Linked DNA regions of Mus musculus. The protein of the gene in region 5 interacts with the protein of the main gene of each other region in a pairwise test. Links are inferred from orthologs where the notes say so. Each region holds a gene or a part of one and is shown on either strand. Other genes may lie near its edges. The genes, in order: Nefl, Snx7, Necab2, Ppp1r18, Tex11, Mapkbp1 and Zfp414.

The links.
Region 1: the proteins of Tex11 (region 5) and Nefl interact in a two-hybrid assay, tested with the Homo sapiens proteins (2 studies listed by BioGRID and IntAct). The two-hybrid records come from large-scale screens. The link is inferred for Mus musculus from reciprocal best matches to the Homo sapiens genes TEX11 and NEFL.
Region 2: the proteins of Tex11 (region 5) and Snx7 interact in binary tests that used the Homo sapiens proteins (3 or more experiments, as listed by UniProt). The two-hybrid records come from large-scale screens. The link is inferred for Mus musculus from reciprocal best matches to the Homo sapiens genes TEX11 and SNX7.
Region 3: the proteins of Tex11 (region 5) and Necab2 interact in binary tests that used the Homo sapiens proteins (3 or more experiments, as listed by UniProt). The two-hybrid records come from large-scale screens. The link is inferred for Mus musculus from reciprocal best matches to the Homo sapiens genes TEX11 and NECAB2.
Region 4: the proteins of Tex11 (region 5) and Ppp1r18 interact in binary tests that used the Homo sapiens proteins (3 or more experiments, as listed by UniProt). The two-hybrid records come from large-scale screens. The link is inferred for Mus musculus from reciprocal best matches to the Homo sapiens genes TEX11 and PPP1R18.
Region 6: the proteins of Tex11 (region 5) and Mapkbp1 interact in binary tests that used the Homo sapiens proteins (3 or more experiments, as listed by UniProt). The two-hybrid records come from large-scale screens. The link is inferred for Mus musculus from reciprocal best matches to the Homo sapiens genes TEX11 and MAPKBP1.
Region 7: the proteins of Tex11 (region 5) and Zfp414 interact in binary tests that used the Homo sapiens proteins (3 or more experiments, as listed by UniProt). The two-hybrid records come from large-scale screens. The link is inferred for Mus musculus from reciprocal best matches to the Homo sapiens genes TEX11 and ZNF414.

The regions. Positions count from the first base shown.
Region 1 is NC_000080.6:68,082,385-68,086,662, reverse strand, and holds the start of Nefl (neurofilament light polypeptide), read right to left. Parts: upstream 2,801-4,278; 5' UTR 2,701-2,800; coding exon 1,654-2,700; intron 690-1,653; coding exon 565-689; intron 177-564; coding exon 1-176. UniProt on the Homo sapiens protein: Neurofilaments usually contain three intermediate filament proteins: NEFL, NEFM, and NEFH which are involved in the maintenance of neuronal caliber.
Region 2 is NC_000069.6:117,830,937-117,834,436, reverse strand, and holds part of Snx7 (sorting nexin-7), read left to right. Parts: intron 1-1,397; coding exon 1,398-1,597; intron 1,598-3,500. UniProt on the Homo sapiens protein: Involved in the regulation of endocytosis and in several stages of intracellular trafficking. Together with SNX4, involved in autophagosome assembly by regulating trafficking and recycling of phospholipid scramblase ATG9A.
Region 3 is NC_000074.6:119,449,719-119,453,218, forward strand, and holds part of Necab2 (N-terminal EF-hand calcium-binding protein 2), read left to right. Parts: exon of another isoform or gene 1-363; coding exon 364-388; exon of another isoform or gene 389-604; intron 605-2,363; coding exon 2,364-2,472; intron 2,473-3,325; exon of another isoform or gene 3,326-3,412; coding exon of another isoform or gene 3,413-3,420; intron 3,421-3,500. UniProt on the Homo sapiens protein: May act as a signaling scaffold protein that senses intracellular calcium.
Region 4 is NC_000083.6:35,865,226-35,869,414, forward strand, and holds the start of Ppp1r18 (phostensin), read left to right. Parts: upstream 1-1,389; 5' UTR 1,390-2,004; coding exon of another isoform or gene 2,005-2,009; coding exon 2,010-3,560; intron 3,561-4,189.
Region 5 is NC_000086.7:100,846,640-100,850,139, forward strand, and holds part of Tex11 (testis-expressed protein 11), read right to left. Parts: intron 2,531-3,500; coding exon 2,410-2,530; intron 1-2,409. UniProt on the Homo sapiens protein: Regulator of crossing-over during meiosis. Involved in initiation and/or maintenance of chromosome synapsis and formation of crossovers.
Region 6 is NC_000068.7:120,014,199-120,017,698, reverse strand, and holds part of Mapkbp1 (mitogen-activated protein kinase-binding protein 1), read right to left. Parts: intron 3,077-3,500; coding exon 2,887-3,076; intron 2,357-2,886; coding exon 2,210-2,356; intron 2,007-2,209; coding exon 1,831-2,006; intron 920-1,830; coding exon 828-919; intron 560-827; coding exon 434-559; intron 183-433; exon of another isoform or gene 120-182; intron 119-119; coding exon 48-118; intron 1-47. UniProt on the Homo sapiens protein: Negative regulator of NOD2 function. It down-regulates NOD2-induced processes such as activation of NF-kappa-B signaling, IL8 secretion and antibacterial response. Involved in JNK signaling pathway.
Region 7 is NC_000083.6:33,627,597-33,631,891, forward strand, and holds Zfp414 (zinc finger protein 414), read left to right. Parts: upstream 1-1,495; 5' UTR 1,496-1,617; coding exon 1,618-1,620; intron 1,621-2,025; exon of another isoform or gene 2,026-2,102; intron 2,103-2,200; coding exon 2,201-2,483; intron 2,484-2,770; coding exon 2,771-2,878; intron 2,879-2,979; coding exon 2,980-3,085; intron 3,086-3,532; coding exon 3,533-3,867; intron 3,868-3,945; coding exon 3,946-4,010; 3' UTR 4,011-4,120; downstream 4,121-4,295. UniProt on the Homo sapiens protein: May be involved in transcriptional regulation.

The DNA.
Region 1 (4,278 bases), on a different chromosome or scaffold from region 5:
CCTGGACGTGGCTGGTATAGTAGGCTGGGAAAGAGCGAGCAGACATCAAGTAGGAGCTGCTCTGCAAGCCACTGTAAGCAGAACGGCCGAAGACCTGCGAGCTCTGAGAGTAGCCGCTGGTTATGCTACCCACGCTGGTGAAACTGAGCCTGGTCTCTTCGCCTTCCAAGAGTTTTCTGGTGGAGAGGGAATGAAGAGTACAGTTAGAGCAAGGCTGGATGTGTTCATTGCTCTAAGCCCACATTCATTACTTTCCTCTACAACCAACCTCAAAGGCAAATACAAGAACAAATACGGTTAGGCATAATCAAAATTTAATAAGGAGTTCACGAGAGACCCCACCCAAAAAGACCTTCTATGCATCCCTATTAGGTTTAAAATATGAATGCTAAGAACAGGGCTTATGTTACTTCAGGGTTAATTCCCTACACATTTGTACCCTCTTGGAGGAAGACCAAAGTAGGACTATTCTAGAGCACGTGGGACTCACTATAACTGCACTGACTGGGTCATCTGCTCTGTCCTGAGCCGCCATGCCCACTGCCAGCACCACCCTGATGTTACCTGTAAGCTGCAATCTCGATGTCCAAGGCCATCTTGACATTGAGGAGGTCCTGGTACTCCTTCAGGTACCTGGCCATCTCGCTCTTCGTGCTTCTCAGCTCATTCTCCAGTTTGTTGATTGTGTCCTGTAGGAAGATTGTTTTAAAAAATTCAAAACACAAATCTCTACTGCATTTGTTTTACTGTAGTATCCATGATAAGTTCTGGTCTTAGTTAACTCCAAAGTGTACACCTTCCAGAAATCTCCCTTAAAATAATGGGGTGGGGTGGGGCATAGGGGGAGGGGTTGGCCTAAAATGCCCAGTCTAGTGAAGCAAGAGAAGGAGAGGAGGAAGAGGAGGGGAGTAGACTGATGTGAACAATTTTGAAAATTGTTCTCAATTGATTATGGTAAGCTGTCTTTTAAAACTACCAAATTGATGATGATATTATTATTATTATTAACCACCCTTGTCACATTTCTTTTAGCCAGGTCGCATTTGGGAAGGGGAATATATATATAGTGTGTGTGTGTTTGTCTAAATAAATATATAAATAAAAATTAAATTATATATATTTGTGTAGCTGTTTGTCTAAAATGCTTCCCCCCGCCAAAGATGAAGAACTTTTTTTTTAATGGACTGCAGTGATTAATTGCTAAAATATTGTGACTGTATTCTTGTGTCCCTATTAAAAAAAAAAACTATCCCAAGGCTGGGTGGCCCAAAACTAGTGAGAGCTAGCAGGCATATTTATTAACCAGGAGATCCAGGAAGTACTGAGGGTAACTTGGGAGTTAAGGGTTGTCAGTAAAGAGAAGGCATTACTTGGCAACGCCCAACTCCGACTCCCTCCGCCCCTTCCTCCCAACTCACCCCTAACAACCCTGATTCAACCAGAACAAGCAATCCCCAGGCAGCAGTCGCGCCCCGCCCCCTCCAAATGCCCCATCCTTTCCACAACCTCTCGGAAGCCAAGCCCTCTGATAGCTGCTCTGTGCTCTAGAACCCCCTAGCGTTCACTCTCTGGGTACACCCTGACTCCCCCCCCCCCCGCCGCCGCCCCTACCGTGGACCTCCCCACCCCCACTGAGCTTAAACCGTACTATACCTGCATGGCGCTAATGTCTGCATTCTGCTTGTCCTCTAGCTCCTGCAGCTGCTTCTCCAGAGCTTCGTTCATACCCCGGCAGGCTTCGATCTCCAGGGTCTTAGCCTTGAGCAGGCGGCGGCTTTCCGACACCTCGTCCTTGGCAGCGCGCACAGCGTCGGTGTTCTTGGCGGCGCTCTCGGTTAGCACGGTGAAGCGGCTCTTGAACCACTCTTCGGCGTTCTGCATGTTCTTGGCGGCCAGCTTCTCGTACTGAGCGCGGATGTCCTTGAGAGCGGCGGAGAGGTCGGGCTTGGAGGACACGTCCATCTCCACGGAGATCTGAGCATACTGGATCTGAGCCTGCAGCTCGGCGATCTCTTCCTCGTGCACCTTCTTCAGGAAAGCTATCTCGTCCATCAGGCTGTCGATGCGCTTCTCCAGCTCGGCGCGGGCGAGCGCGGCCTCATCCGCACCTTTGCGCGCTTCCATCAGCCGGCCCTCGGCGTCCTCGCGGCTCAGCACTTCTTCCTCATAGCGAGCCTGCAGGTTGCGCAGAGTCTCCTCCAGCCCCTCGCGCTCGCCCTGCAGCGCCTGCTTCTCGTTAGTGGCGTCTTCCGCTGCCAGCCGCAGATCGCGGATCTCCTGCTCGTACAGGGCGCGGAAGCGGGAAGGCTCAGAGTGTTTCTGGCGCAGCACCAACAGCTCGGCTTCCAGGACCTTGTTCTGCTGCTCCAGCTCGTGCACGCGCTCGATGAAGCTGGCGAAGCGATCGTTGAGGTCCTGCAGCTGTGCCTTCTCTTGTGTGCGGATAGACTTGAGGTCGTTGCTGATGGCGGCTACCTGGCTCAGATCGAGATTCTCCAGGCTGGGCATCAAAGAGCCAGAGCTGGACGAGTAGCTGCGGCGCACGGACAGCGAGGAGGAGACCGGCGCGGAGTAGCTGGAGTACGCGGAGCGCGCCGTGCTGTAGCCGCTGCGCACGCTGGAGATGTGCACCCGGGGCGTCTCCACATAGCGCCGCTTGTAGGAGGTCGAAAAGTACGGATCGTAGCCGAACGAACTCATGGTGGCGGCCGGTGCGCCCCTCAGGCCCGGGGCGGAGATGGGGGACCTAGAGAGAAGAACGGGGGAGAAGAGGGAAAGGGGAGGATGGATGGCTGTGTGCGGCTCGGCGCGGTCCTGCCACCTCTATTTATACGCCGGGACTCTGACGCAGACTGTGATCGATCGCCGTGCGCAGGCCAGTGGGGGCAGCGCGTTGCTGCAGCCAAGGGGAGGATTCTGCGCAAAAGCAAAGGCGGGGGCGAACGACAGAAGGCTAGCGAGCTGCGGCTCCAGCCTGGCCGCTTTTCTATGAGGACCCCTACTTTCTCTGAGACCCCCATAACTTCCCTGCTTATTCTTTTCCTTTCCTATTCCCCCGTCCCATCCTGCCTCTTAATACCTAAAGCCCACATCACTAGGACTCTTAAATGTTCCAAATAAAAAGGTTCGCGATCCCTACTGACACATCAACTTTTAACATCCAATGTCACAAAGACACCTTCACCCCACCCCACCCCACCCCACCCCACTCCCAGCTTTCCCTTTTTGCCTCAGGGACCCTCTCAAGCACCCTGATTCGTGTTTAAGCAGCACGTTTGGGTTGCTGACAATAGCTAATGTTCTTGCGGCATTACTGCAGGAAAAGTTTTGCATGTCTTTGTAGCTATTTTCTGACGTTTTCTTAAATTCGCCCCACTTTCTCCTGCCTCCTTTTATTTTTATTTCTATTTCTTTCCGTATTACTCTTCTTCTCAATACATAGGGAAATTGCACCACTACACACCATTGGAACCGCAGGACAGCGGGTGTTCATTTTGGCATTTTAAAACCTTTACAGCAGTTAATTTGTCTGACACCTTTCATAGAATTTCCCCTTTCTTTGTGAGAAATGTAGTCGGGAATGCTTAGGAGGGGTTGGAACCAGCCAGGTAAAGATTTGCAAGGCAAAAGACGGGCGCGCTCGGCCGCGGGAGAACTTCAGGGTGCCTTTATCCTCACTGAGCTATTCATACTTCCAACGCCTCAAAAGCCTCTTCTCCTCTTTTTAACACCTGTGTGGTACCCCAACCTGATGGTTTCAACAAGCCATGAAGGTAGATGGGGAGAGAGAGAGAGAGAGAGAGAGAGAGAGAGAGAGAGAGAGAGAGACTGCTGCAAAGGGCTACCCGCTCTGGGTGTGGTCTTCAGGAAGAGAACGCTGCATGGAGCCTGCTGAAATTCACAGATAATAGATACACTTAGGAACCTATGGGCTTCCTTCAGGGAGCACCCAGATACCAGAGTGGGCACGCCAAACGCACGTGGGTGCAACATTTTCATACTCGCGTTGTGAGCGCCTGCAGTTCCGAAGAGATACTGCAGATTTGTAAGAAATAACTAAAACCTTTAAGCAAGCATTTGGCGTTTTGTTTAATTTGTTCAATGTATCGCTGGCTTGCTGATTCCTTTAAATGGCACAGTGGGAGGTTACCGTTTTCAAGTAAAAAGTAGTGAAATTTTTGGAGTTGTACTCGGTCGCTTCTGGAGACCAAACAGAGGATGAAGGGAGCTTAATTCTGTATATTCCTTTCTCGTGTTACACATACTGTGATTCTGATA
Region 2 (3,500 bases), on a different chromosome or scaffold from region 5:
AAAAAAATAAAGAAGATGCTAAGCATCCTTAACAGAGCTGGAGACAGGATTCCATTCAACATATTAGAGATTCCATTGGGAATTTTGAAATCTAACCGGTGCAGGGCATACAGATCCATATCAGGAAACTAGTTTGAGAGTGGTAACTTGTGAGCCCTTTTGATCATTTTCATTCTAAATCATTTCATTTTGATCATTTAAAAAATAAAGCTTGGTTTCCTTTTCTTTTCTGTTTCCCAATTTATTAAATTTATTCTTCAAATTTCTGCTGATTGCATGTTGTGTTGTTTCTCTGTGCTATAGACTAAAGAGATTACAGCTGTACCTGCCCCTGACCTCACAGTATACTTGATACCTATATTTTAGCAAGGGCACTTACTAAATGTTGATGTGTAGGTATGGTTTGAAAGCTGTGTAATTTTAAGAAGGCTCTGTAGTAAATAGTTAACTGCCTAATGAGAACCATCAATGTGCACACATATTGAGAACAGAACTCTTAACATTTTTTACTTCCTATTTTTGGGGTCATTAGTCTTCAATACAGATGGACTTTACTCTGAAAAGTGAAGTTAAGAACTCAGATTAAAACTTACATCTTCATGAGATAATCTTAACTTCTGGAGTTCACTTGATCATAGGAAAACTTGGTGCTAGTTGTAGCTTGGAGTGGCAGGATATTTTCCAGTGAATTGTACTGGGTGGAAAGAAGGTGAACTCAAGAGAATATCACTGTGTGCATGGTGATTCCTGTAGAGGGAAGGAAGAAAGCCTATAGTTTTGCTTAGGTTAGTGCGTAGTAATTACCGTTGAAGTGTTTGTATAGATAAAAGAATGGAATAAAGACACATTTTGCTTAGAACTTTGGCTGTGTATACTTAGATACAATATCTATATGTAATTATATGATAGGTGGAATTTTAAAATAGCTAGGATAGTTGTATAATATAATTTTCCAAGCTAGGATAATAGAATAGACATCTAGTTTTGATTATACTTAGTAGCACTTCAAAAACTGACTTGTACAATCTGCAATGGCTGGTTAGTTAATGAAGGATAATATAAGCATTTGCTCATATCTAAACATAAGAACTTGGAGAGAATAAGACAACGTCCTTTCATACTATCTATGATATGGGGATTTTCAAAAACTTTTTTATAGAAGCTGGAGAGATGGCTCATCAGTTAAGATTTTTATTGATCGACCAGAGGATGTGGATTCAGAAGCCAGCAAATCAAGCTTCAAGGGTCCCAGCACCCCCCTTTCTGCTCTCTGTGGGCACCTGAACATGAGGCATACACTCACGTACCCAACCAAACAAATACAAATAAAACGTAAATCTTTCAAAAATGTAAACTGACAATGACACTTTTTTTCTCTTTTTTTTTTTCTTTTTTAGACTATTTTGATGAAATGAAAGAATACGGCCCTATTCATATTCTATGGTCAGCCTCAGAGGAAGAGCTGGTCGACACGTTGAAAGGCATGGCCGGCTGCATTGAGCAGTGTTGTAAGGCCACGGAGAAGCGGATGGCTGGCCTGTCAGAGGCCTTGCTCCCTGTCGTCCACGAGTATGTGCTTTACAGTGAGATGTTAGTGGTAAGACCCTGAACTAGAGTCTCAGCGCTGTTCTCTTCATGATGCTGTCTCTGTGTGTCCACCACTCTTTCCTGTCCTAGTTGGATGTTGTACGTGTAGATGCCCAAGAGATATCTAACCACTGTAGCCAGGCATCAATGGCTAAGTGACCACATAGACAACAGCTGGGCTGCTCAATAGGAATAATTTATGTGATTGGCTTCGATCCAAAGCATCCTTAATCAGGACTGACTTAAGGAGCAGTTTTCTAACACCCAGTTTTACTTTAAAACATGTCATTGTTTTATGCTTTATAGATTTAATTCCTTGAGAGTTACTTTCCTGTATCATTTATGATTTTGAACATATGTCCTATGTATTGTGTATATATATCATGAAGAATATAATTGATTGAGTAGTAGGGTCTTGATATATGCATGCCGTGCCTTCAGGCTGCTTCCGAAGAGAAATCTTCCAAGTTAAAATGTTCCCTTACACCCTGTAAAAAAGCCTTTTGTTCGTTATATAGTCATCTTACATTCTTCTTCCTCAGTTCAACTTAGGATTTCCAGATACTTGTGTTTGTTTGGAAACGGTGATGTTTTTGTCCTCTATTGTCCTGTGTTCTCAGCATGCTGGCTCCTTCTGGTGTCGAGTCTTTCAGGGGGATGTTGGAGGATAACATTGGAGATGTATAAGCATATATTCCAACATAGCCCCTTCTGCTTGAAATTGGAGCCATGACTGATTTCAGATGGAATGCACCTTGATTCCTAGTAATTTTAAAAATTGTCTCTATCTTGGTAAGAAAGGGTTGCAGAGCTGTGAAAACATGAGTTATTTCTCTTGTGTCTCGTGTTTAGGCTTTACTTGAGAGTCACTAGATCTTGCATGAACTTTGCAGACTTTTGACGTTACCTGGATTCTGAGGAGTTGTCTATAAACAACACTCCTTGCTTCTCAGAGACTCCATGCTTTGCGGCTGAGAGATCTTCCTCTCCGTCTATTGCCTCAGCTGCGTCTCCTGGTTTTCTCTCATTAGTTACTTCTCCTTGTGATCCTTCTTGGAAATATGGTTTATCTGTTTCATCCATCAGTTCGGTAGTACTTATCCCTCTTGTTAAGTCAAGCTAGACACCATGAAAGCAAAATCTTATGCAATTAAAGTTTGCAAAAAATCATAATAGCCACTAGAAACATCCATTATAAAGCTCCTTGGTGGATTGAATTATTTTATAGAGACCTAGGATATAATCACTAGTTTTTGTATTACATTTTTGCTCCTGTTTCATATAGGATATTTTCATCTGAGTTAAAATAATCACTAGTGATACCTTAATAGATAATGATTAAAATTATATGATATTTACTGATTATCCTATAAAATATATATTTATATTAAAATATGTTTATAAATTAATGCACAGTACAGAAGTAGAACTTGAGTATGTGGGACTTGCTGATAGTATGAATTATTTAGATTGGAGGAAAGAAAACCTGCCTTGACATTAATCAAAGTAAATGATATAAAGGAATTTGTGACAATTAGTTGAATTTTCTATTGTTTTTCCTGAGATTTGTCTTACGTACCATACCTTAGTTATGCAAAATTGGTTTCATTATGACATCTTCATATATGTATATATTTTCATTTTGCCCCCTTCCACTCCGGATGATACTTTTTCTTCCCAACTTCTTTCATGCCTTGTTTATTGATTAACTGGATGCTCTACTAAATTTCACGGGGCTGCTTACAAGATAAGGGTGGGGTGGTTATAGAAACAGGAACAGTTTACCAGTGGTAACACCACTGAGGAAAAGGTATCTCCCTTCCCTAGCAACTGTTAACAGCCTATGGATTCTCATAGACAGAGAATTCCTTATGTCTAGCAGAGTTCTTTAAGTCTAGCAGATCCTAAGCCCA
Region 3 (3,500 bases), on a different chromosome or scaffold from region 5:
CTCTCTGAGCATGGCTGGGTGCAGCTGTGTGCTCAGTGATGGGAGAGTCTAGGGGGATGAGTGTGCGCACACCTGCAGAGATGCGTGTGGGTGTGCGTGAGTGTGTAGCACGAATGTGTGTGTCTGTCAGCAGCCGTGGGCAGGCTGGCAGCGCAGTGGGAAGAGGGATTGATAGCTTGTGAAGGCTGGGGAGGGCCTCTGCCTGCTGCAGTCTCTCCACGCTGGGTCCCAGCCTCGAGGTCTCCCGGGGAAGTTTGGGCTTCCAAGCTGCTCCTGGGAGAGGGATCTCAGCTGGGTCACGAGGCTGCTCAGGGCACCTGCCCAGGCTCATCTCAGGACTGACTCCAGCCCTCCTCTCTCCAGATTTTCCGCCGCGCCGATAAAAATGGTGAGTTCCTTCCAGGTGCTCCGCTGCCCACACTCCCTGTCCTGATGCTTCATGGGAAAGAGCTAGGGGTGGGGACAGGGACGACTATGGTCCTGAAGATGAAGAGCACAAGAAGATCCAGAGGTCAAGTCCTGCCGCTGTTCTGGGCCTCAGTTTCCCCTTCTGTAAGCTGAAGTGGTAACAGCTGTCCTGTGTTGCTCTGAGCTTTGGGGCAAGGTAAAGAGATGTATGTGAGTGACCTACGACATTTCAAAAGAGAACCAGAGGGTAGCATGTTCATCCAGGAAGGAAGTACTGACGAGGCCTGTACCTGTCACCTGCCCTGAGGCCCTTCCCAAGTGGCCTTCAATTCAAGGTGGCTCCAGTTTTGTCCAGTTCCTATGTCCTTCCTAGGAGCTGTTGTTAACCGTCCCATGTGGTTGTGGGGTGGGGTGGAGCCCTTTGGGTTATGAAAAGGCAGAAGAGCAGGCCTGGGTTAGGATCATTGCAGAGGAGTGTTGCCCTCATTGGGCCTGTCCCAGGTGATACGCATCTTCCCAGGCCTGGCAGTGAAGGATCACCTGCAGATCCCACACACAACACAGGGATGTAGGGAAATCAAACAGTACGGAAGATGTGGTAGCACTGTGCAGAGCCCGCACTACCCAGGGAAAGAGGCCTGGCCCCGCCCCCAACACAGGTCACAGGAGTGTCAACTTCAGCTTGCAGTGAGCCTTAGACTGCACCCTCCTGACCCCCTCCACTCCCGCAGGTTGGGTGTTTGGACTTGTGTTCTCGGTGAGGGCACTATGCCCAAAGCAAAGGAGGGCCTGTGCCAATGTATTCAGGATGCCTTCCAACATAAGAACAAGGCTGTGTGTCTCTGGGAGGCTCTCACGATAAAGACTAGCTTGGACGTGGTGGGCACGAGATAGCCCGAGGGAAGGCTAGTATGAGAGTCCTGACTGGCACCCCTGGGTATCGCTGGAAGACGGGCATAGACGTTTAGCAGAAGGGTGAGGATCAGTCAGTCTCTCCTTCCCGGGATGTGAGACTCACAGGCTCTTGCTATTTGAAAGGTCACTGCGGCAGGCCGGGCTCCTGCTCATTAGTAGCACCACCTGCAAACAGCCCTGCTTGGGTTATTGGCAGAAGTGATGAAGCTACAGGATAACTTGTCATCTCTTAATTGGACCAGAGGCCAAGTGGAGGATATTTTTTCCTCTTAATAGCTCATCTGTGCTCATTAGGCCTGTGGCTAGCACCCAAGGTAAATGTCAGCAGGCTTGTGATCAGAGAATCTGCAAGCCCTGTCTTCCAGCTTCCTGTTCTCTCTGGGTACGGAGGACACTGAGGTACCACCCATGAGAAGCAGGTGGAAGCAGTCAAGAGGGAAACTGGACCTGGTGTTGGCACACCCCATGCTGTGCCCGGGACAGACATGACTAATCAATTACAGCACACATGTGTTGAGCCTAGCATTGGCCTCAGCTTTTCCATGCAGCCCAGCTACTTCACGAAAGATAGAGCCACCCAAAGGGTGGGGGACTGTGCTAGCACCTACCGTGTGGCACAAAGTCCTGCTCTAGGTTAGGTTGAAGGTCTGAGTTCAAACTGTTGTTGCCTTGAGGAAGGATGCAATAGAGGGACTATCCTCAGACTATCCCAGAGCCTGGGACGTGGGGCCGGGGTTGAACGTGATCCCTATAGGCTAGTGGTGTCAGGTTAAGCATGTTACTTAAATAGTGTCTGTGTCAGATGACTGAGGGAAGAGCAGAAGGGGTGATTGCCTGGTAGAGGGCACGAAGGTGTTTGCTCCCCAGAAACCAGCTTCCATTGCCTCCGATGGTTTGGGATTACCTGTCGGGAGGCCTCAGGCTGATCACAGGGAGTTTGTCAGCTGAGTCAGTAGTAGTGGGGATAGGCTGTGGGCTACCACTGTGTGCTCTTCTCTCGGAGACAAACAGCCACTTGCTTCCTTGCCTGCCCATTGCAGATGATGGGAAGCTGTCCCTGGAGGAGTTTCAACTCTTCTTCGCAGATGGCGTCCTTAATGAGAAGGAGCTGGAGGGCCTCTTCCATACCATCGATTCAGACAACACCAAGTGAGCCCGGGCTACCATGGGGCACTGTGGGGGGGGATGTATAGGCTCCTCCCATCTCCACAATGCCAAGGTCCTGTTTAAGGGCAAGAGGTCTGGAACTCCCCTGACCCAGTAATCCAAACATCAGACCTGTTTGGCTCTCACTGCCAAGCTGTGTGCCAAGCACGCTCTCGCTCTCTCTCTCTCTCTCTCTCTCTCTCTCTCTCTCTCTGTGTGTGTGTGTGTGTGTGTGTGACTGCCACAGAGTTTGTCCTATGTGCTACCAAGGGGTAAGAGACCCTGGGCCTGCTGTAGTATACACAGGACTGATGGAACTTGGCCATGACCCTGCCTGCTCTCTCTCCGTTCTGTTCTAATCCCAGAACTACCCCAGGATCTACATTCTAAGATCCTGTTCCTGTGAACCACCATCCCAAACCACCCCCTGTAATGCATATGAATCCCAACTCTATCCTGAACCTCACTTCTGGCTTTGAAGCCAATTGAGTTGTTTTCTACAATTCACTCATGACTTGGACCCCGTAGCAGTCTCACAGGGTACCTGGCCTCCAAAGCCAGCATGAGTGTGCACTGTCCTTTATCTGATGCTCCTGAATTCAGTCTAGGTGGGCAACAGCCACCTGGTCACCTTCCTCTGCCCCACTAAGGTGCTGAGGACTAATGTTTCTAGGGTGCTAGGGCAGGTTGGATCACTTGGGGGGCCCAGAGACTAGTGGTGGTGTGGGTACACGGTTGCTACCAGGCCAGTTTGCTGTTTGTATAGAAAGCGGTAGCACAGAGCTGAGGCTGGAGACCTGACAGGGTATGATTTTCTGGGCATGCCACCATGTAGGAGTGACTTTGGTTCTCACAGTAGATCAGGGGACACTGTCTCCAGGACGCATGAGGTCTCAGCTTCTCTGCAGCCTCCTGGGAACACACTGAGTCACACATTCTTGGGATGCAGAGGTAGGTGCATCGCTGAGTTCAAGGCCAGACTGAGTGAGTTGCAGGACACAGAGAAACCCTGTCTAAAAAAACAAAAACAA
Region 4 (4,189 bases), on a different chromosome or scaffold from region 5:
GTACCGCGGCTGTGCTTCCTCCCCACTCCTGCCTTAGTTTCTCCTTAGGTCTTTCCCTACAGCTCTGTGTGGTCTCCTAAGGCGACGTCTCCCGATTTTAACTCGGGTTGACTCAGGGCTCCCTGCTCTCCCAAAGGATATGCGCTGCAGAAAAAATAAAATTTTATACATATGATATCCACTTGTCTGTCCATGACTCTCAAGCCGCAGAACCAATTGTGGGAAGGAAGATGAGACCTAGTTTTTGCGGTGATAGCCGAGCACTCTAAAACGATCGCAAGGCTGGGGCCACACCCCATGGACCCGCCCCATCTCTCAGTCGTCCAGTCCTGTTCCCTCCAAATATTAGTTTCTCCGCGTATAAATCAGGGAACCCACGGGAGACAGAATAACTCTCTGGGAGGAGAGCGAACTCCCAAAGCCATTTTGCCTCAGACCCCAGGGCCTGGCAGCCGCCTTCTCTGCCACGGTAACAAAGACTGGCTAGGGAAAGAAAAAGCGTGGGGAGGAGCGGCGAGAGATGGGAAGGGCGGGTCCGACTCCAAGCAGCTGCCGCTTCCTCCCCATGTCCCTCAGGGGGCCTGAGTCACGGGCCGCCGCCCCGGGTCGGCCAGCTGGAGAAGTGGGTCTGGACACCCCGCTTCTTCGGGGCTGCAAGGAAGGAAGCGGGTGAAGGTCTCTGGAGACAGACAACGGAGAGCGAGGGGATAGCCACAGCAAGAGAGAAGTCCCACCAGAGTCCACGCGGGAAGGAGGGCAGCGAAGCCCCGCCCTTCGCCGGGCTCCTCCCTGCGCCCCCTTCCCTCGCCCCATTGTCCGTAGACAAAGCGGTCGCCGCCCCCGCCTGGCCCCCAGTCTGCGTCTCCGTCCCTCCTCTTAGGCTCCCTCTTCCCTCCTCCTCTGTTTCCCTCCCTCCCTCCGGATCTCCCTTCGCCTCTCTCCTCCTCTTCCTCTCTCCCGACGCCTGACTCCACTGCACCTCCTCCTAGGGACCCCGAGGCGTGTAAGTTGACTATGTGGCTCCCACTTTAAGAGAAGTGCCTCCTGGCTCCAGATCTTCCCTGGAGTGTCTCCCCTTTTGCATAGATTGTCCCTTCAGTTCCCTCTGGTGCACAACCCTTTGGGTCAAGGTCCCCTGAGAGCCGGCTCCCTGGTTGGGGAAGACAGCAGAGGCGTGATGTGGGTCCTCGTCGCGCCCGAGTTCTGGAGCGTATCCGGTGGGGAGGCCGGCGAGATTGTAGGGACTGAACGCGGCTGGACGCCAGGGTTCTGGGAATGTACGGGGCTGCACACTTGCTCGGGTACCAAAAGTCCCCAAGGAGGGTATTTCCCCTGACCCGCCTCGGGGGCGGGAAAGACAGTGGGGTAGGGGCCGGACTGAGGGGCGGGGCCGAGCGCAGCCGGGAAGGCAGCCGGGAGCTGCGGGGGCCCCGTGCGAAGAGGCGCCGGCGCCCTTGCCTGTTTCCCGGTCTCCCCTTCTACCCTGGACCTCTGCCCTCTACATCTGTCCTCACCTCCTCACCTCCTGCCCGATCTCCTCGCCCTTCGCCGTCTGGTTCCCTGTTCTTCCCGTTTATCTCCCCCTGCGTACCGGGGGAGGCAGTCTTGACTGAATCCGCTCACTTCTCAGCCCCGGCTCCTCCGGCTCCTCTCTCTCTCCTGCTTTTCCTCTCTCCCCTTTCTTATATCTTAGGGACGGTCTGGTGCCCACAAACCCCAATCTAGCTCTGCCTCTGCCCGGAATCTCGACTCTTCCTCTCCCACTATCCCCACCCCCAACTTGGCACCCAGCTTTTCTCTTCAGTTTTTCAGTTCCTGACTCTTTTGCTGTCCTTCCTTTCACGGCCTTCCTCTATCTTCATTCTTAATTCCACTGTCCCCTCCTGCCCTTCTTCGTCCCTTCCCGCATCACTTCCTCCCCCAACCCCCATTCTCAGTCTCCGGGCTCCTCTGAAGCTTACCCTTCCTGTTCCTGTCCCCCAATACTCTCTCCTTCACTTCCAGTGACCATGACCGCTATCCCAGATTGGAAGCTACAGTTGCTAGCCCGGCGGAGGCAGGAGGAGGCAGCGGTTCGTGGCCGCGAGAAAGCAGAACGGGATCGCTTGTCCCAGATGCCAGCCTGGAAGAGGGGAATCCTGGAACGACGCAGAGCCAAGTTGGGCCTGCCTCCTGGAGAGGGGAGCCCTGTGCCTGGGAATGCTGAGGCTGGACCTCCAGACCCAGATGAATCTGCTGTCCTTTTGGAGGCTATTGGACCAGTACATCAGAATCGATTCATCCAACAGGAGCGACAGCGGCAGCAGCAACAGCAGCAGCAGCAGAGAAACGAGGTGCTTGGTGATAGGAAGGCTGGGCCTCTGGAGGTTCTAGAAAGGAGATCAAGTCCTGGTAATTTAAGAGATCAGAGTCCTAAGGGAAGAGAGTCCAGAGAAGAGAGGCTAAGTCCCCGGGAGTCCAGAGATAGGAGGCTGGTGATAGGGGGAGCCCAAGAGTCAAGTTCGAGGTCTCTTCGAGACTGGAGGCAGAGCCCAGCAGAGGCCAGAGACCTGAGTTCCAGACCAGCAGAGGCTCAGAAATGGAGGCTGAGCCCTGGAGAAACTCCAGAGGAGAGTCTGAGATTAGCGGGTTCTGGAGATGACAGTCCCAAGAGAAAGGAGGTGTTGGAAAGCATTCTGAGCCCTGGGGAGCCTGGTGACCAGAAGGCCAGCCCGACAGATGTCCATAAATGGAATCTTGACTCAAGAGAACCCCAGAAACAGAGCTTGATACAGCTGGAGGCCACAGAGTGGAGGCTGAAGTCCGGTGAAGAGAGGAAAGACTACTTGGAAGGGTGTGGGAGAGAGGAAGAGAAATTGAGTTCAGGGATTGTTCCGGTGACAAAGGAGGTTCAAGACATCACCTCGAGCGAAGTGGAGACTGCTGAGCAGAGACCCACTGAAAGCTGGAAATGGACCCTAAACTCTGGGAAGGCTCGAGAACGGACGACCTGGGACATAGATACACAAACTCAGAAGCCAGATCCTCCAGCATCTTCAGAGAAGCACCCAGGACCTTCTGGTATGGAGGCTGAAGAGGAGGCTGAGAAGGAGGAGGCGGAGGCTCAGAGCAGGCCTCTGAGAGCCCAGCAGAACCTCTGCTCTGGGCCCTCCCCCCTCCCACCAGAGCACTCTGGGACGGAAGGCTCCAGACAGCAGGAAGAGGAAGCGGCAGAACCCCGGCCCCCAACACCAGCCCCTCTGTCTCCCCCACCCTCGGCCCCAACTGCCCCCCAACCCTCTGGGGATCCCCTCATGAGCCGTCTGTTCTATGGGGTGAAACCAGGACCGGGGGTGGGGGCCCCCCGCCGCAGTGGACACACCTTCACTGTCAACCCACGGAGGTGTGCGCCCCCTGCCAGCCCAGCCCCTCCAGTCAACCCTGCTACAGCTGATGCTGCAGGGTCTGGATCTGGGAAGAAGCGGTACCCAACTGCAGAGGAGATCTTGGTGCTGGGGGGCTACCTCCGTCTCAGCCGCAGCTGCCTTGTCAAGGGGTCCCCTGAAAGACATCACAAACAGGTAAGAGAGCTACCATGCCTGACTGGGTAGAAGTCTCTTTCTAGTTCTGACTGGATGGCTTTTTTATATGTGTGTGTTCTTGTCTTCTATTCTTTTTATTCCTGCCGACTCCCTTCCTCCCCCTGCACACACCCTTCCTCTGGGTAGCCTTCCTTTGCCATTCATTTTGGAGCCCCAAGGATTCTGTTCTGCACTCAACTGCTGTGTTGGGGTGTGTCGTTTTCGGGTGTGCCCTGCCTGTTTCTTCTTTCCCCACTCTCTCGGTCCCCTCTCCTTTTCTTCCTCTGGGCTTTTGACCCAGTTAACCCTCTGGTAAGAGAGAAAAGATAACGTACCTGTGAAGGCGTGTGAAAATAACCCAGGGGGACAGAGAAGGTTGACGGAGAAGTTCAGGGAAGTTGGAATGAAGGTCTCAGCCCCAGAAGGAGGAGGGGGTCAAAGCTAATGGAGGACATTCCAGAACAGAGGTGGGGGGTGGGTTGGGGTGATGGAACAGAGCTGGCTGAAGGAAGAAGGAGTTTAGACCCCAAGTCGGCCCCCACTCCTGGCAAGAAGAGGCCATTTGAAGTGGGTGACTTCAGGGTTGCCTACCCCTCCCCCCAAACTGGGCAAATGTTAGACAGTGCTTC
Region 5 (3,500 bases):
AGGTACAGGGGACATACTCAGTATAATAAAGGCAATTTATGGTAAGCCCACAGCCAACATCAGTCTAAATGGAGAGAAACGCAAAGCAATTCACCAAAATTAGGAAGAAGACATGGCTGTGCTCAATGTAGTCCTGATGTCTTAGCTCGGACACTAAGACAACTGCAGGGGGTCAAAAGTATACAGATTGGAAAAGAAGGATTCTAAGTATCAATATTTGCTGACGATATGATACTATAGGTAAGTGACCCCGAAAATTCTACCAGAGAACTCCTACAGCTGATAAACACCTTTAGCCAAGTGGCTGGATACAAAAGTAATTTACAAAAACTGGTAGTGTTCTTGTATACAAATGACACACAGACTGAAAAAGAAGTCAGTGAAACAGTACTTTTAACAATAGCCTCAAAAATATCATGGGACAACTCTAAGCAAGTCAGTGAAAGAAGCCCTGAGGGCCAGCATAAAGAATGGAAACAGGCAACCTTGGGAGGTGGGAGGACCCTCTAGAATAGACTAGAGACCTGGGAGGTGAAATGCCCAACAGTGGGGAGAGGGAACTGTAGGGTCCATCTCTAGTAGAAAGACAGGGTATTAAGTGGAGGGATGGGGTTGCCATCCCACAGTCAAAAACTCTGACCCAGAATTGTCCCCATCTAAAAGAACTGCAAGGACAAAAATGGAGAAGAGACTGAGGGAAAGGAGGTCCAGTGACTGGCCCACATTGGGATCCATCTCAAGGCAATGCTCCAAGACCTGACACTATTACTGATGCTATATCTTGGAGAAAAGACAAGCATTATCAACGAAGAGTGCTGGTCAAACTGGTTGGCTACATGGGGAAAAATGAAAATAGATCCGTATATATGACTGTACAAAATTCAACTCCAAAGTGATCCAGCGCTTCAACATCAGACCAAGTACACCAAGTCTGATAGAAGAGAACACAGGGAATAGGCTTGAACTTACTGACACAGAAAAGGCCTTTCTGACTGGACCCAATAGCACAAGAATTAGATTAGGATCAACAATAAAGAAATGGGACCTCATGAAGCTACAAATCTTCTGTATGGCAAAAAACATTATCATTCAAGAAACTAGCAGCCTACACAATGGGAGAAAAAATCTTTATCAATTATATAACTGATAGGATGTATTTAGAACATATAAAGAACTAAAAAGAAAAAAGAAAAAAAGACCCAATTAAAAAAATGTGGTATAGGGGCTGGCGAGATGACTTAGTGGGTAAGAGCACTAATTATTTTCTGTATAAAAAGCTAAGCATATGATCATGTTTCAGGTAGGGGCAATACTGGACAGGAAACTCACAGGAAAATTAAAAATCAGCAGGCTCTCTAACAGAAGAGTGATAGGGATTAGAACTGTAGTGTGATTGATAAAAGTGGCAAAACTAAGTTCTTCAGAGAAGCTGTGGCCTCACAGAGACTATAGAGATTAATCAGTGTGGAGTTACAGTAAGTCTAATTTTTAGTTTGCATATAGAATACAGTTAGAAGTTCCAGATGTAGCTTCTGGATTAGAAATGGAATTTCCCCCTCTTCCTAAAAGGTTAAAGGTTGCAAAAGAAAAACCAAGTTGTTCAGTGCTGAGGTTTTTCATATTTAAATTCATATAGGCCGGAATTAACTTGTTCCAGGAAAAGTCTAGATTTCATTAGTCACTGATAGCTTGTATCAGATTGGCATCCTACTTACTATCTTATATTGTGATTTACAAATCCTGTTATATAAAAACAGCCAAGATTCTTAGATTTTGTTGTTGGTTTTGTTTACCTGCTTGATTTTGAGACAGAGTGTCATGATCTCAATCACTATGTAACCAAGGATGACCATGCATTTCTGATGCTTCCAGGTACTAGATTACAGGTGTGTGCCACCACATCTGGCTATGTGATGTTGGAGACAGAACCCTCAGCAAGCACTGTACAAACTGAGCTACGTCCCAAACCTATACTTAGATATCATTATGAATGTAAGTAATGGCTTTTTGCATTCTTTTCAGCAAGCCATCTTACTCTCCTGTTCTATAGCTCTCATAAACAACAGTTAACATCTTACATATCTTATTCATGAATAAGTTTATAGCACAGATACTATTTATAGTGACCCACACATGTGCAATGTGGTAGGCTCCAAAAATACAAAACAATTCAAGATGAATAGTAGTCTTGTTATTCTGACCCAAACCTTATACTTATACTAGTAAACTTATACTAGAAAATCCCTACAATTGACTACATTTTATAAACTCAGAGATACTTTTAAGGTGATATCTACATTGTAATGTGAATTTACCATAAAAATCCTATCAGAAAGTATCATTCTGTATGAATTCAAATATACAATTCCTTACAATCATCTGCAAGTTTACTATTGCTCTTTGACTTACGTTTTGGCGAATGATGCTCAGAGTATTTTTAAAATGGCTCTGAACTTCTTTTAGGGGATACAGCGATATATTCCATACTTCATCTGCCACCAGAAGTTTAATCAAGTTGTGCATGCATACGCTGAAAATATAAAGAGAGAAACGTAAGAAAATAAAAAGTAAGGAAAGAGATCAGTGGCCTGGCTAAGACAGTTAACTCTGAGTCTCAGCTCACACTGAGAGCTTTGTAGTACTTCTGCTCCTTCTTTCATTTTGATCTTGCTTCTAATCTTGGAAGACAGAGTTTTGAAAATGTAAAAGGGGTTCACTAGCCCTTCCTTTGATACTTGTTGTTGGTTGTCATTTTAGTCAACTTCACTTCTCTCATAAAATAATTGTTTAATTAACGTATTTTAATGTGTGTGTGTGTGTGTGTGTGTGTGTGTGTGTGTGAGCCCAACGCACACAAGCTTGAGCAGAAGTCAGGGGACCACTCTCCAGAGTTGGTTCTCTCCTTCAACTATGTGGGTCCTGAAGACTACACATAGAAGACCATCAGATACGGCAGCAGGTACCTTCATCTGATGAACCATTTTGCCAGCCCAATCACACCATTGTCATATTTTATGAGCTGATTTAATTTATGGGCATTTAAGCAATCATGCTACCTCCTCAAGGACACAAAGATATTAAAATTGGACTGAAATTGACAAAAAGTGAAGATCTTACTTCTCAGAACAGAAAGACTGTAATGAATTTTTCCTGAAAAAAAAAACAAAACCACATAACATTATTGATACTTAAAAGTACTAAGGAAAAAAAACAGAAGAAAATTAAGGAAAAATGTTGAAGTTGAGTGGTGGCTACAAAGTTATGATAATTTGGGATATTTAGTAAATGACATGAAAGAAGGAAGATACATAGTACTATTTTATTATATGCCTAGAAAAATGAAGGAAACCAGGATATACCCTTCTTTTTCTCCCCTGAGAACGGTGGATTCCTTATTCTTGCTTAATATTTTTCAGTGTCTAATGCAATGTTCACTGCAGAGAAGTTTACAGGATAGTTTCCCTATAATCTTCTATGTTGGCCCCATTGATTATAGTGGC
Region 6 (3,500 bases), on a different chromosome or scaffold from region 5:
AACCCTGTTCCCACCCCTGCCCTGCTGGGGACACCCAGTGCCCTTACCTTCTGTGCAGTTCGGAAGTAAATGCTCTTGTCTGCACCACAGCTGATCATTCGCACTTGCCCATCACTGGCTGTAGGGGACAGGGACCTGGCTGCTTCCACCATATGAAGGCAGCCTTTCTCCTGCCTTCCCTTATTTTCCCCAATGGAGCTACTCTACATGGTGGACCAACCAAATAAAACAGAGTGCATCCCACAAAACCCATGCACCCCCTCCTCAGCCCTCAGTCTGGCTCAGGGTCCCCTAGACTGAAAGTCTATATTTCACCTGCCTTCCTACCTAGCCTCATGACTCCCGGGTACCTCCCAATCCTTCCCAGCAAACTCTTCTCATAAATGTAGGTGGTAGGTAGAGGGATGAATAGCTTCAATTGCCCAGTCCCCACCTGCAAACTTGACAGCAGTGATGGAAGATGAATGCTCATCCAGTGTCTGCTGTAGACTATATTCCCGGCCAGCATCCAGCACGTGGATCAGACGGTCCCGGCTTGCCGATGCTAGCAGTTTCAAACCTGGGGTTGGAAGAATCTTATCAGTTCACGTTAAGCTGGCCCTTATCAGTGCCTGGGAAAGAGCCCCAAGTAGACAGAGCCTCATATCCCTAAAGCCACAGAACCACAGAACAGGGGCAGAGATCTTACAATCCTGCAAACACCAAGTGATCTGAATGAATATAGGACCCAAGATTATCAGAAGCCAAGGCAGGTATAAGGTGGCACTGGCAGGACAGGAGGGGCTGTGCCAGAGCTAGACCCTGCTAGGGCATGGGTTAGGCCTTACCTGTGTCTGGCTTAGAGTACTCCAGGCACAAGATCTCAGAGTCGTGGGCCTCCACTTTCAGCATCTCACTCAGGGACTGCAGTTCATGTATCCTACAAATAAGAGACATCATTGCCTGGCTGTGAGAGGAAAGGCCTCCTTCTTCTGTTACATCCTCTCCCCACCTTTAAACAAACATTTTAAAGCTTTAAGAAAAAGTTCAAACACTGAAGGTGTTCTATATCCCCTTGCCCAGTTCTTAACTAGCATACATAACAACAGCACATGTCAGAGCCAGGCATTTACATACTGTTAAGTAGGTATATTATTATTTTTTTAATTAATTAATTTATTTATTATATGTGTATACGCTGTAGCTATCTTCAGACACTCCAGAAGAGGGCATCAGATTTTTGTTACGGATGGTTGTGAGCCACCATGTGGTTGCTGGGATTTGAACTCAGGACTTTTGGAAGAGCAGTCGGTGCTCTTAACCGCTGAACCGTCTCACCAGCCCAAGTAGGTATATTATTAACATGCCATTATTTGTCCATATGTCCTGGATTCAGGATCTTAAAGAATGTAAAAGGCATTTAGCTATCACTGCTCTTTAGTTTCCTGAAGTCTGTGGTAGTCTCTCCATCCCTCCTTACCTTCCATGTCCTCGACACTTTTGAAGAACACTGACAATTACTCTCTTGTATGTACCTCATTTGAGCCTCTCACAAGTGAACTGAGTTATATGCATTTTTTTAAAGAACACCACAGAAACAATATTATGTCCTTCTTAGAACCCCTTATCTTGAGCTTCCTCATGCGGATGTGTGACTGATAGCTGTGCCTATGTCTGCGATGGCTTTTTCTGAGCTCACCACTGTAAGCTCATTCTTTCATTTTACAGAATAAATATCTTGTTTCTAAGCTTTGGGGGGAGACAAGCCCTCCTAAAGCGCTGCTCTTGAGGATCTAACTACCACAGTCACCATGAGAGGCAGTCAGTACCTAGCTCAGAACTTGACCTTACCTAAGTGTCCCCATGCGGTCTCCGGAGGCCAGGTGCTGTCCATTGGGGCTAATACACACGGACCGGATGCCCACTCGGGGGTCCATCAGCGACCCATCAGCTTTGTCTCCTCCAGGCAGCTCAGTGTCCAACAAAGCCTGAGTGTTCCCATCCACATAGATGATCTTAATGAGATCCTGGTGGGAAAGGAGAAAGGAGACAGCTCAGGCAGTACCAGCAGGATGGCTGCAAGCACAGAGGGATGCTGGGTAAAATCAACCCTAGGCTCAGAGAGTCCAGCCAAATAAAAGCTGAATGATCAAGATTCGGGGAGCCAGTTCCTGAAAACAAGGTCAAAATCTATAAGCATGGGGGCATAAGTATGAAACGGGAGGCTCACATTGCTGAGGATGTTACGGTGCAGGGTAGAGCCATGTACCCCAGAGCTCTCTGTGTTCCACAGGCGGATGGTGTTGTCTGAGGAGCAAGTAATAAAGGAACTGGGGGGAAGACAGGCCTGGTGACTGTCCTTGATCTCAGGGTAGACCTGAAGGGACAGAGGGAGAGAATTAGACTTCCGCTTTGGGGGGCATTTTTGTCTACTCAGGAAGAAGGAAAGGGTTATGGCATCCAAGGCAGAGTGCTAAGACTTAGCTATTGTCTGACATTTAGTAAGGAAAGGAGACATTACTGTTATATATGCACCCAGTAAGGAAAAGCCCGCGATCCCAGCTCCTCCTGTGTGCCATAATCTCTCAATTACGTTATGTCATTTCATTGTTAGAACAATTGGGAAAATCTGATACATCATTTTACAGTTAAGGGATCTGAAGCTTAGTCTGGTTTAGTAACTTATCCAAGATTCCTGAGCCGAGGATAAGGCAAAGACTCAGGCTAGGCAGAGACACACAAGAAGGCTGAGGTGCATGGGCACCAACGTTCACACTGGAGCTCTAGAAGCTCTAGAGCTACAGCAGGGAAGCCACTGAGAGCCGAGGGGCAGGACCCTAGGGCCGTGCTTGGTGTTCTCTGCTTTCTATTCTCACAGTGGAATTACTGCAAACCCATCCCACGTACCTCCACACTCCAGACACAGGAGGAGTGATACAGAGCGGAGTACACCTTCCCCACTTTCTTGGGGTCCCTCACATCCCAAACATATATGCTGTGGTCGTTGTATACACAAGATAGCCACTGATTAGTTGGATCGAAGGTCAAGGCAATGGTGTCTGGGTACCTTGCATTGACCCCTCCAGAAAAGAGGCGACTGTGGGAGAGAGGACAGGAAGTTACCACAAAGGAAGGAATGGAGCACAGGACACTGTCTCCAGTCCTACAGATTTGGAAGTAGAACTGAGAATTCAAAAGCAGTGCCTAGAGATCCAATCCAGGAGCTCACCCAACCACAGCTACTGGGCAGAGTGTTTTCCAGAGAAATGCTAACAAATTCATAGATCACCAATACCAGACAAGGCAATTCTGTGGTTACAATGGAGCACAACAAAATCTACATGGTTCTATGAGTATTTCTGCACAGAGATCAAAACAAGACTATACTACATACCACAAAAATAGGGTTTGTGATATAGCTCAGTGGTAGAGCACTTATCTAACAAGCAAGGCTCTTGGTACTATCTCCAGCACCTCAAAATCTCCTCCTCCTCTTTCTCTTCTTCCTCTTCTTCCTCCTC
Region 7 (4,295 bases), on a different chromosome or scaffold from region 5:
ATGTGTGCATATATACATGCAACCACATACACAAAAATGGAAAAACAAACATTCATCAATGACTACTTCAGAAACCATGGTTTCTCTCTCTTCCACCTCTTGAAAGTCCTACAGGAGCCAGGCGTGGTGGCGCACGCCTTTAATCCCAGCACTCGGGAGGCAGAGGCAGGCAGATTTCTGAGTTCGAGGCCAGCCTGATCTACAGAGTGAGTTCCAGCCAGGGCTACACAGAGAAACCCTGTCTCGAAAAAACAAAACAAAAGAAAGAAAGAAAGAAAGAAAGAAAGAAAGAAAGAAAGAAAGAAAGAAAGGAAGGAAGAAAGGAAGCCCTACAGGACTCACCCAAGTTCTCTTTCTGACCTCCATACCAACATCTTTATTCTGTTTCAATAGTGCAGAGGTCTCGCCCTTGCTTACGAAAGGGGAGCTTGCTCTTTGCCAGCTCAGGACATCTGCGCCAGCTTGCTGTAGTGCTCTGCTTCTGTAGGCATCAAGGCACAGCTCAAGTCACCCCCTTAGACAGGCTTCCCTGACTCCTCATTTCACATCAGTTTTGTTTGTTTTCTTATCTCCTAGGATAGATCCAAGATCATTTTTCTGCTGTTGTTGATTTATTGTCTCTCCATTTTCTTGGTTGACTAGAGACTCCCAAGAGCAGTACTAAGTTCCTGGCACATAGGATGCACTTAAGGAAAGTAGGGTGGGCAGGCGACCTCTCAGTAGTAGTGCACTTGGGATTCATTTTCACACCTCTCGACCTGTGGAATTTGCTTGTTCCTGAAGATCCATTAGTTAGAGTGTTTCTCACATTGGGCTATTACAACAGATTCGTACTTGCTGCACACTGGATGTGCTGAAAATTTTATGGTGCTTGCTAGGAAGATGGGTCTGTGCAGACACAAGGGACCAGGGTTCAAACCCACAATCATGTAAATGAGAAAGAGTTTGGATCTCTAGCCCTCCCTGTGAGGCATAGCAGCTTCCTGTAATCAGGGCCCTTTGGAGGTGGACACAGGAATCTTCTGACAAGTAAGTTAGCTAGCTAGGTGGGAACTGGTGAGCTCCAACTTCAGTGAGAGATGTTGCCTCAGTGAATGAAGTGGAGAGCAATGAAGGAAGACAATGTCTACCTTGGACCTCCGCTCTTACCTGCTCACATCTGTGCATATACATATTCATTTGTACGTGTATGTGTACAGAGCTAAGGATGTGGCTTGCTTTGTAGAGAGTTTGCCTAGCATATATGAAAACTCTGGGTTTGATACTCAGTACCACCTAAAACCTGGTGTATTGGCATCTAAGTTCAAGGTCAACTTCTGTGTAAGGCCAACCTGGGCTATAAAAGTGGGGAGGGGAAGAGCTTTTGTCAGTTTTCTCTGAAATTTAAGACCAATCAAAAGCAGACCTTCTCTGTTTCTGTATAAGAGCTGCAGTGTAGTCTCAGGCCCCTCCTTCTAGAGAAGCGCCCAGAATTAGGCCACACCCCATGTCTCGCGAGATCTGAGAAGCGGGAAAATGGCGCCGATGTGAGCGAGAGACCGTGTCGCCGAGGAAGACGCCCCTGCTGGAGCCAGAGCCTCCGAAGGCACGGGAACCAGAGGTGTAACTGAGTAGAGGATGGTGAGCGCAGCACCCCGCACGCGGACGCGGAAGAGCAGCGGGACTGACAGGGAACGGTCCTGCCGCGCGCCCCCCTCCAGCTGACCCCGCCCCCACATCCGGGTCCCCGCCCGCCTCTGACTGTCACTTAGCTTTCGTCCAGCCCTGAAGGCCGGGCCACACCCACTCTCCTAGAGTTCAGTCCCTAAATTTAACACGTATTGGCTCAGAGCGTCTATCTGCTCAGCTCTAGCTTAGCCAGTATTCCCCATCATCACACGATCCACTGTAGGCCCTCCAGCATTTCCTAGTTGCTCCTCTAGGCCACACCTCCGCCCCTAGTGCCTCTCCTGCCAAAATTGAGGAAGGGATGTTAATGCTGCTTTTTTATGCATAATCCCTGATAACTCCTGCAATTGGAATTAGGAGACAGTAGCTCGGTCTGCCCTTATCTCCCGTATCTTGCTGGTGACTCAGAAAGTGGAATGACTGGGTAATATCTGGTGAGTGTTGAAGGAGTCTGTCTTGTGGACCTTTGTAGTAGAAGGGCATCTGTCTGACCTAGGGATCCCAGCCTGATTTTAGCCACTTCTTGCACCAGGAGGAACCATCCAGGCCCAGCTCGGACACGCTGACCACTGTAGAATCCAGCTCCGGTGAGCCAGACAAGGAGGTGGCATCTCCAGATGGGGCAGCTCCAGCCACTTTTTCCTCCGTGGAGGAGCCCAGCCCTAACCCAACAGCCATGCCACCAGTGTGGGACCATGGAGGACCTCTGCAGCAAGTTGCCTATCCAGCCTCAGACAGTTGCCAGACTGGCTCAACCAACACAGGCGTGGGGACCAATGAGGACCTTCGGTTGCCCAGACGCCGTCCACCGCCAGGTTATCTGTGGACCTTTCTGGGGAGTCACATGCCTTTGATAGGGCTGAGATGGTGCAAGACAAGGAATCACCTTTTATCCCATTGCGGGGGTGGGGGGGTGGGGTGGGGGGTGGTCTTCACCATTTACTGAGCACCTTGTCAATATGTCAGGTGTGGCTCCAGAGATGAACTAAACCAATCCAGCCCTTCCGGGCAGTTTATTCTGACAGTGGCTGGGTGGGGAGTAATCAAGGCTTTTGGGTAGGTCAGTAAGGAAGAGAGTAATGACACCCATTCGTTCCTGCAGGGAAACAAATACCCTGCTCTAGCCCCGGCTGCTGCCTCAGTTTCCCCAGTGTTCGTGATCTAGCACAGCATCTCCGTACCCACTGCCCACCCACACAGTCACTGGAAGGTAAGATGAGGGTTGCTGATAGTGAAGCAGATAGGCAGAGCCCCCCCCCCCAGAGTTAGTCTTAACCACCCCACTCCACATCTGCACTTTATCCCTACCAGGCAAACTCTTCCGATGCTCCGCGCTGAGCTGCACTGAGAGTTTCCCCAGCATGCAGGAGCTGGTAGCCCACGGCAAGCTGCATTACAAGCCCAACCGCTACTTCAAGTGAGAGCCTGACCATCCCCCTCTTTCAATTCCCAGATCTTTAGTGCTTCTTAGTGTGTGTGGAGGAAGGGTGGGTTGAAGTATGAGTGTGGCCTGGGAAACCAGCTCCAACCATGCATGGAAAACAGATGGGAATTAAGTCATTCTGGCTACGGGCTCAGTTTGGAGGTGCAGGGTATACATGCCGTGGTTCCGTCCAGTTCTACCTCATGTCTTATGTGGAAAACTGGCACTTAAGTAAAACCAAACTTGAGATTCTGAGCTGGAAAGGTCCAGAAGAATTAAGACTACAGTAAAGGAGGGCCTGTAGGCCAAGCTCCTTTACTTTGTGTGCAGTACTACAGAGATTCTGATATAGATACCCTTCCTACATCTTGGTCCCTGGGAAGCAGTGGATAGGCCCTTCCTGTTGCCCAGGATATAGTCCAGTACTGTGCCTGCCCCCAGGTGTGAGAATTGCCTCCTGCGCTTCCGCACTCACCGTTCACTCTTCAAGCATCTGCATGTTTGTATAGACCATGGTCAGAACCCAGCCCCGCCACCACCCCCTGCCCTGGACAAAGAGCCACCTGTACCCGAGCGTCCCCCAGAGTCCGACCCTTCGTCTTCCCTGGGCCTGCCATTCCCACTACTTGAGCCTTTTACCTCTGCCCCCACTGGGCCCTTCCTTCCATACTTGAACCCTGCACCCTTTGGCCTGAGTCCCCCTCGACTGCGCCCATTCCTGGCTGCCACTCCAGGGCCACCAGCATCCAGCACTGCCATCTGGAAGAAGAGTCAAGGTGAGTATAGGAGCAGGTTGCCTGCAAAGCTGGCTGAGCCCACCTTTATTCTGAACTTGAACTGCTTCTTTCCTGCAGGCGCTACCAGTAGTCCCAGAAGACCTCAGGGTGGCTCTGATGCGCCCTCAGGTGCGTGCAGGTGACCACCAGGGCAGGGTGGAGGGGCCTTCATTCCTATGCCCTGTGTGGGCCTTGCGAATGCTGGAAAGCAGCAGTGCCTGTCCCTTAAAATACATGATTTTTACCTTTAAAATGACTGGTACCTATGCCTTCATCTGCGCTGGCGTTCCTGTGTAAACATTTGTGTCTTGTCCAATCTCTGAGTGCTCTTCTCCGGTGGTGGATCCAGGGATAGGAGGCAAATGTGGTGCCTGCGGTGATGGGCAGTCAAGCCCAGGAAAAAGAATCCAGCTTGCCTGGACCCTGGC